Bombyx mori: one gene and its partner. The protein of the gene in region 1 interacts with the protein of each later gene in a pairwise test. Links are inferred from orthologs where the notes say so. Each region holds a gene or a part of one and is shown on either strand. Other genes may lie near its edges.

The links.
Region 2: the proteins of ATP-dependent RNA helicase me31b (region 1) and mRNA cap-binding protein eIF4E interact in binary tests that used the Drosophila melanogaster proteins (3 or more experiments, as listed by UniProt). The link is inferred for Bombyx mori from reciprocal best matches to the Drosophila melanogaster genes me31B and eIF4E1.

Annotation. Positions count from the first base shown.
Region 1 is NC_085118.1:10,825,331-10,829,388, reverse strand, and holds the start of ATP-dependent RNA helicase me31b, read right to left. Parts: upstream 2,801-4,058; 5' UTR 2,640-2,800; exon of another isoform or gene 2,445-2,639; intron 2,243-2,444; 5' UTR 2,085-2,242; coding exon 2,020-2,084; intron 1,927-2,019; coding exon 1,845-1,926; intron 1,029-1,844; coding exon 822-1,028; intron 650-821; coding exon 478-649; intron 400-477; coding exon 249-399; intron 110-248; coding exon 1-109. UniProt on the Drosophila melanogaster protein: ATP-dependent RNA helicase which is a core component of a variety of ribonucleoprotein complexes (RNPs) that play critical roles in translational repression and mRNA decapping during embryogenesis, oogenesis, neurogenesis and neurotransmission.
Region 2 is NC_085128.1:2,391,521-2,396,319, reverse strand, and holds the start of mRNA cap-binding protein eIF4E, read right to left. Parts: upstream 3,049-4,799; 5' UTR 2,642-3,048; coding exon 2,612-2,641; intron 2,320-2,611; coding exon 2,141-2,319; intron 1,492-2,140; coding exon 1,314-1,491; intron 828-1,313; coding exon 740-827; intron 1-739. Other genes in the region: spermine synthase, read left to right, coding at 4,006-4,287, 4,693-4,799. UniProt on the Drosophila melanogaster protein: Recognizes and binds the 7-methylguanosine (m7G)-containing mRNA cap during an early step in the initiation of protein synthesis and facilitates ribosome binding by inducing the unwinding of the mRNAs secondary structures.

The DNA of each region.
Region 1 (4,058 bases):
TTCCATGAGATTTATTTCATAAGGTTCTTTCAAATGCTTTTCCATAAATTGTTTTACACTCAGAGGGAAAGTTGCAGAAAACAGCAAGATTTGGCGTTCCTTAGGTAATCTAAAATCCATCAATAATGTTTTTAATTCACACACTGTATTTGAAATTATGAGATGGCACATGACATTTATTTTGAGAAGCACTATTTAGCATTTCTTGGTCACTGAATTTGTTACACATGAAACTAACAAACGCTAACCTTGAAATAACCATATCCAGCATGCCCTTAAAGTCTTGTGAAAGAAGTTTGTCTGCTTCATCAAGAACTAACATCCGGCATTGATCCATTTTGGCCACCTGCTTATCCATGAGATCAATCATACGCCCAGGTGTGGCAATAATCACTTGTACTAGAAATAAAGTGTATATTCCATGAATATTTTCTATTTTGAAATTATTTCCATTTCAATTTGTGTATCTATATTTACCATTTTGATAAATACGCATTATATCATCTCGAAGGTTTGTGCCTCCTGTAGTAACCATTACACGAATGTCTGTGTGTTTTGCCAGTTCAATACAAATCTGTGATGTTTGGAGTGCCAACTCTCTAGTTGGTACAACAATTAAAGCTTGTATAGTATCCTTTTTAGGATCAACCTAAAACAATTCACTCTTGTAATTTCAATAATTACACAGTCTTGTTTTAAAACATAGTTTTTTTTAATCAGTTCTGTTTTGTCTCACTTATAAAAAGTGAAGGGGAATCCAAATATTTCATCATACATTAAAAACATAAAAATGAAAACTATTGTTACATATAACAAATTACCTGTTCCAAAACTGGAATACAATAAGCACCAGTTTTACCAGTTCCATTCTTAGCTCTTGCAAGTACATCTTTTCCACTTAGGGCAATAGGAATTGAGGCCTCTTGAATAGGAGATGGCTTCTCCCATCCCTTTTCAAAAATACCCATCAACAATTCTCGCTTCAAACAAAACTCTTCAAACTCATTGCCTCTAGTATCTGTGACATCCTAGAAACGAAATTTGATTATTATGTCCACTATAATCTAAATATATTCTTAAAATGATGTATGATGATGATCTATAAGAATGATCAATCACAAATATGATCTAAAAAATGAAAAATCAATATTTTATATTTCCAATAATCAGAATATACCATTGGATTTATGAGATTGCATAATTAAATAAAGCTAACTATATATGCTGCTAAGTGTTTTGAAAAATCAATAAGGAATACCATCATTACTATGTGGGCATCAAGAACTGAGGTACTCTTTGATATTAATTACTATTAAGGCAGACAATAGAACTCACCTAATTCATTAATAGTGTAGCTTAAAGACACAAAATTCTTTTACAATAGGATTAATTTTATTACAACTGCATTATAGACATGTTATGATAAAAAAAATCCTAAATAAATACAAAATGTTTAAAGTAGTAATTAATGTAGCATTGGAGCTATTTAAACAGAATTGAATTCTGTTTGTCAACAATGTATTAGATTGGAGATTGTAAAGACAAAAATCACTTATAATTAAATCAACCAAATACTTTTTCTTTTACTTTAACAGAATAAAACAATTCAAGAACTATACTTCCCCATAAATTTTATTTTTGTTTGTTGTTTAAAAGCAAACAAGCAAGCTTGTTGGAAATTTAAATTTTCAGTGTATAACTGGATTATTCGTGTATAACAATAATGCAATTGTAGAATACCACAAAATGTTCTAAAGTTGTTTTTAAATTGTTATATTTTGACTGTCTAAATTCCAATGACTATTGTATGTGGGCCGTAATTTCTAGTAACTAAGCCAACTTACACTAGTCTTTATTCTTCTGTCTTTTGGGGGTATTTTTAATTTTGATTTCCAACCAACGTCGTCGATGCTTTTGTCGACCTCTCTGAAAAATGCGTTTACATGATTAGAATATTGCTTCGTGTGATTCTACATGCAGTTAGCATGACAAAGGACATTTTATTAAATTTATACTTACCCTTTAGTTTGACTGATACTATTTCCGACGTGATTACTTGAACTAATTCTATTTTCGGTCATCATTTTGCCAAATTTATCCCTAGCTAGGGACGACTAAAATTAGAAACTTATAATCACACTAATTATTATTTGTCCAAGTCCAACACTAAATAAATTCTCTAAATCACTTTTAGACACGTATATTAGTCAGTTTATCACGTTCACCAAGTATTTCAGAATAGCTGAAACAAGAGGAACATATTTTTATATTAGATAAGTATATTAGAAAACCCGTTTCGGTCTTTTGAAAACGAAGATTACGAGACGCGTCAACAAGCTATATGACAAAGTAAATAAATCCCGTTATGAAGTGATTACTCGATAAGTTATTAGAACTAATAATGAGCTCAGTATATAGAAGTATTATAATAAATTAATGTTTACCAAAAGTTAAATGAAAAGGAGAGATTGAAAAGATAACAAAAGATTGTAAACTGAACTCAGTTATGTTTTTTTAATATGGCCGCCATCGCTTCGTTTAATTTTACTTTGTTTGTGAGGAAAAGACCTAAAAATTAATAAACTAAAACACTTCCAACTTTGAGATTAATACTGTTATAAAATATTGTTGTTAATTACCTAGATAAAAATTTAAAAAAGGTGACGACACTCGATACTCAACGACGACATCACAAGAGTTTACTCAACCAAAGACAATAATACACTTTTATTTTCTATTTCTGTATGTTGCTTGTTGCCTATGTTGGCTCCCTTGATTTCTTGAAAATATTTAAAACCATAAACATTTTTCTGGTCTATCTATTGTGTCCACCTAGTAAAAAGAACGTTACCTACACAAGACTTTCTTTAGAGTGTTTCTAAGCTTTAAATGGAAAAGTGCGATGAAATTAGAAATTATGTCTTCAGTATAATCATCAAATTATAGGAATTCGTAAAAAATCTAATTAATTTTTTTAACATAACCAGCTATTTCAATGCTGATGCACTTTCTCAGGCATTATTATGTTTTTATTCCACTAGTACAACAGCAAAATTATAAATTGACTAAATAAAACAGTTTTCAATTCACTGGTGGTATGGCGTATTATAAGCTCACAGGTGTCCTAAGTACTACCCAACTTATTTCTGGCACGAAAAGTTATGCCTTTTGACATGGAAGGTAAACTCAAGACTAGAATCTCGAGGTTTAATAATTTAGTGCTTCGTCGTGTTTAAGCGTTTAATAATGACATATTACAATTCAACATTTGTAAAAGTGTAAACAGTCTTTCACTTTAAAAAGTCCATTGAACTCTCAATAAATTCCTGCCATTTCACTGAGAGGTTATTTTTCATTTTACACAATAGCCACGCTATTTTTCAATCATACCTCATTTTACTCCATTTCATTTCATTCTAGAATGATTACATTTTTTTTACTTTGGTGGGAGGACGAACTCACGGCCCACCTTGTGTTAAGTGATTACCGGAGCCCATAGACATAGTCAACGTACATATAACCACCTACCTCAAGATATGAGTCCTAAGGTCTCATTTATTACAGTATGACTGCTCCACCTTTCAAACCGAAACGCATAGCTTTTTCACGACAGAAATAAGCAAGGTAGTGATACCTACCCGTGTAGACTCACAAGAACTACCTACCACTAGTAAAACCCACCGGTAGTAAACCCACCCAAACATTTTACTCTCAAACACAAAAAGCACTGTTTCCGCCTTTGAGTGAACTTGCGGGATTTGCTTTATTTTGCCTATTTAGTGTTTCTTCGGGCTTAAATGCGTAATAACGGTGGTTTACTAACTGCTTAGTATTTGTGAAAGTGCACAAATGTAGGAAAATAAAACAAAGCCTATGGACATAACTTCTCGGGATCCTCCAAAAAGTCCACTGAAATAGTTTCAGTAAATGGCCACCATTTTACTGAGATGTATATTTCATCCCATATCATCTCATCTCATCTCATTTCATTTCATTTCATTTCATGTTTCATATTAATTAATTAACTTCATTTTATTTCACTTCATATTATCATTTTT
Region 2 (4,799 bases), on another chromosome or scaffold:
GTTATTATGTCAGGAATCCCCGGCAGTGCAAATATCCATACCCCATTCTGATGAAATATAGCATAAGGAGATAAGTATGTGATAAGATAAATGATAAATCATTTAAGATAATACACATTTAATTTTGACTAATTTTCACTAAGATGACCTCGAAGACTCTCATAAACTCTCATTATTGTAATTGTATAAAAGCCTACAACAAAGAGACATGAGACAAATTCAGATGAATTTTATCTTTCAGTCTGTATATTTTTTTATTTATTCCTCTGCACTACAGATATTTTAGGGTTTATAAGGATCCATAATGTTTTAATCATTATCAATTACAAGCTAAACAAATTAAACTAATACATATTGTGATGATAAACAGTTTCCTTTGATACTTCAGTATTGTACGTGCTCATAGATAATAAGATAATTATATGCACTACTGCATATATAATTAGAGAACACAGTACAGCAGATAGTTTAATTTATTTATATTTGTGCATAGTATAATACAATTTAAATTCACAAATCACTTTAGATAATTCTATAATGTGAGTTGTGCATTTACTAATTATGTTTGTTTAACAGATGCTCTGTTAGTGTTTGGCTCGTTTTCCAACATGACCTTGGCTAATGTCATTACTTATTATTCATGTTAACAAGAACACAACAAAACCCTCTAGATATTCATAGAACTTAGAATGTTATGTAATTTCACTAAGAAAATGAAGATTTTTATTTTGAAACTTACCAATTTTATCTACTTTTGGTCTGACATTAACAACAGCACCACAAATCTCATCTGAATTCTCGAAATTTTCACCAATTAAAAGAAGAACCTGAAAATTAAATACAATATCTTCAATTTTAATGCATCTCACACACATCTCTGGTTCCTTGTTGTAGGTGCTTACTGGTCACATCCTTCCACACATCCACATTACTTCAAACAAAGATCAACAGAACATAGAGCCAAGCATACAGCTTGTAGGTAATGAGATAGGAGATGATCCTTCATCTCCTTCCTACAATACAGTTTCTATCTGTAACTGTATTCTAATATTCAACAGGATTTGAGTGGGCAGCCTTAACTATTTGAGGCATGATTTGTGGTTTCTTAGAAACCAATGATCTTAAATAAGCTACAACATCTTATTAAATGTTTATAAACATGGGATAGTGCAATCAAGCTAATATTCACTCACAAACATGTGCTCAGAAAAACTTGTCATATTTTTAGAAAATCTTTTCCTTTCATTATGTCAAACTTGATACTCAAAAAAGAAGTATTCTAAAACGGTATATAATAAAAAAGTTTAACATACCACATCTAACCAGAACCTATCTAAATCAGTAAAGCGTTGTTTTTTCTCAAGACTGATAAGCCATCTTCCTCCCATCTTGTTAGCATCGTCTTCCCACATAGGACGAATGCCTTGCTTGAATACTGCATAGTCATGACCTTGGCGAAGTTCTGACGGTAGCTTAATATGATGGTACAATCTGTAATGTGCAATAACAGTTTTGCTTAAATAAAAACCTACTAATTACTAAATTGACTACTCAGAGTAATTTTTGGCATTTTCTTATTATAATGGAATGAATCTATAGAATTAATGAATGAATACATGTTGACAAAAATAGAAACCATGTTTAGCACAGGGGGCTACGACAGACACATTGTATCTGCCATTTGACATCTATCAGTAAGCAATGAGTAGTCACTGGTTCCATAAGTCACTCATTATTTTTGATGTATTTCTTAAAAGTTTTTTGTGCAAAAACCCCTCAATGATTTTTTGAACATACTTGATGTATTGGTGCGCGAAAGGGAAATATGTCATGGACCTATGGCATCCATCACTCCATTCTACATGTTAGATACATTATTATTATAGAAAATATAACAAGTAAATAAAAGAACAGATGATTAAATCGACAACTAATCACATTAATTATAATAGATACGTAATAATTAGCTCTATAAGAAAGTGTTCTAGTTTAATCTTGAGCAAAATTAATTCTGTTTAAGTTCAGGTTCCATCAGAATTTACTTTCTCATCTAGGTTGCAAATGTATAGAAGTTGCATGAATGTACTTCTAAAATGTATGAAATTTATAATTTACTTCTGTAACCGGCATTTTCCTTTACCTCCAAAAGTCTTCAACTGTGTCGAATGTAGTCAACTCAATAAGATTCTCCTCCCATGTTTTGTTTCGGTCATTGTCGTAAAACCAGAGACTCCACTGGTTTTGTAACGGGTGCTTGATCAAAAATTCAGGGGGCACCTCCGCGTTACTGTTGGTCTTCGTTTCAGTGGTAGTAGACCCCTTAAAAACACAGGTCATTTTTATTAGTGAACCTAACCTAAAAAAAATATTGTTATTTTCGTAGAAGTCGTTTAACGACTTAATCCGGAATATTTTTACACAGAAAACCACTCGAGCGAGGTAAAGTTATAATTTATACTTGAAAACTAGACAATTATGCTAACAAATGTAACAGTGAAAGTTAACGAAGCCACATCAGCAAATTGCGGCAAAATTATAGGTTTTACGATTGTATAACCGGCAAAACGAGGTAGAAAATTACTTTGTTTTCTTAATAATTACATCTACCCACCTCTACTTCTTCTGTAGTATTTCCAGCCATATCTTGAGAGGATAACGATGCAAATTTCCTACGAAAAGGAGCGACAGAGTCAACGGGGTTGCCAAATCAGAAATCGCGTAAATTATTTATTATTTTATAAAGTGGATGTGCGCTAATCATGGTCTAGATTTATTTAAGGGTGTCATTTTTTTGTCTACCTATGTTGGTGATCTCATGGGATTATACCAGCTTCACGAAGCGAGTAGGCGAGTTCACGGGGCTAAGCCTGGTGAATTTGCTAACACTAGCCCTATTAAGAACAGTGCTTCGCAGTATCTACCACCAGATCGGAAACACGACCCACTGAGAAGATTCGGCGAGAAACTCAGTGGGCTGATTAACTCAGGGTTAATTTGCTCGCCGAACCCTTCGTCGCATTCGAGAGGAGTGACGAGAATGGTCACCAGTACTGGGGGGTGCCTAAAAGCACCGATAGTGGATCGCGAGGATCCGAAATGACGTGTTTTGGGCAAATGGAAAATATTAAATCACGGCATTTCCATCATCACCTTATAAACACAGGCCTTTTCCGAAGTTGGCTACAGTGACCAGTCGAGCAGATCTCGTGACCTTCACCAGGTCGGTCCTTCGAACCGTTGTGAAAGGCCTACCCACAATGCGCCTTACAGCGTGCGATTGCCATTCGAAAACTTTTGAGCAGAGTAGCCACCTGTCTTACCAGCAATATACCAAAGCATAGCTGTGAAAAGTTGTTTCGCTGCTGACCTCTATTTAGAACTAGCTAATAGAAATCATCGTATGATATCCTTATCTATGCACAACCTCTTTTTTTAAAGGGATTTTATGACCTGGTAACTAAGACCATTAAGTCTTATTTTAATTTATTTTCTTATGTTTATGAAAAATGATAATATGGAGTCAAATGAAATGAAATGAAAATGAAACGAAATGAGATGAAATATAACCTCAGTAAAATGGTGATCATTTACTGAGACTTTTTCAGTGGACTTTTTGGAGGATCCCGAGAAGCTACGTTCAGCGGCTTTGTTTCATTTTCCCACATTTGTGCACTTTCTCAGATACTAAACAGTTAATAAATCACCGTTATTACACATTTACACCTGAAGAAACACTAAATAGACAAAATAAAACAAATCACACAACTTCACTTCTCGAGTTCCCGCCAAAAAGGCATGCACAACCCTATGCGAGCACAGACCGGAAATAAATTCATAATAAAATTGTAATTTGTAATTCACAATTCACCAAAGTGTATAATCTATGCAATTCACATTATTGATCGGTTTCAAAACTCCGTGTGCGTCGTCTGGTTTGCCGGCTTAATCGACGGTTAATAATTAGATTATACAGTAACAAAACAAAATTTAATACATCACTGTAAAATGTCAGTTCACAATATCTTATTGGATTTCTCGATTGAAGCGGCCCGTCTGGAAGATGAAAACGGCCAAAAAGATATCTTTGGACAATTGGAAACTCTATTAAAAGAATATATACCAAATTTGATCCTAGCCACCGACATAAAATTGGAAGATGGTTCATTGAAATTATTAACCGGTAATAAAGGAACGACTGTATCCGTTAGGATGTTTGACCGAGGTTTCATTACTTTAAATATTGAATTTTACAAGGGCGGAAATGAGGAGTCCGTGATCGATCACAAGGTGAGGATTATATCGATTGAATGTATTGAGTGCTATTATTTTATTTTGGCACATTATATTATTATTGTAAAGTCTTTGCGAAACTCGGTAGAAAAAATAAGAAGTACTAAAAATAGTTTAACCATTTTATCATATGATCTTTTCTATGCATTGTTAAAAATACTAAGATTTTAATTTAAAAAAAATTAAGCATTAACTGAAGGACCAATTTTTTTATGGACTACCTTAATTGCATAAAAATTTGCAAGCCTTCAAAGTCGTTGTAATACTATCTTGCTTATTTTAATGTAGAGGACAGTTATTAATTTAATGGAAGTTATACCTCTACCGGGCAACTTATTTGCAATTAACTCATTCAAAGAATCCTGAAAACAATAAAAATATAATCTGCAATTTTGTTCACAGACTGCCAAAGAACTTGAAAGCAAAATTAAAAAATATATTTCTAGTATAAAGTCACAAACATATATTCCACTAAAGAGATGTTTGTTTGGTAGATATTATCCTAGTTC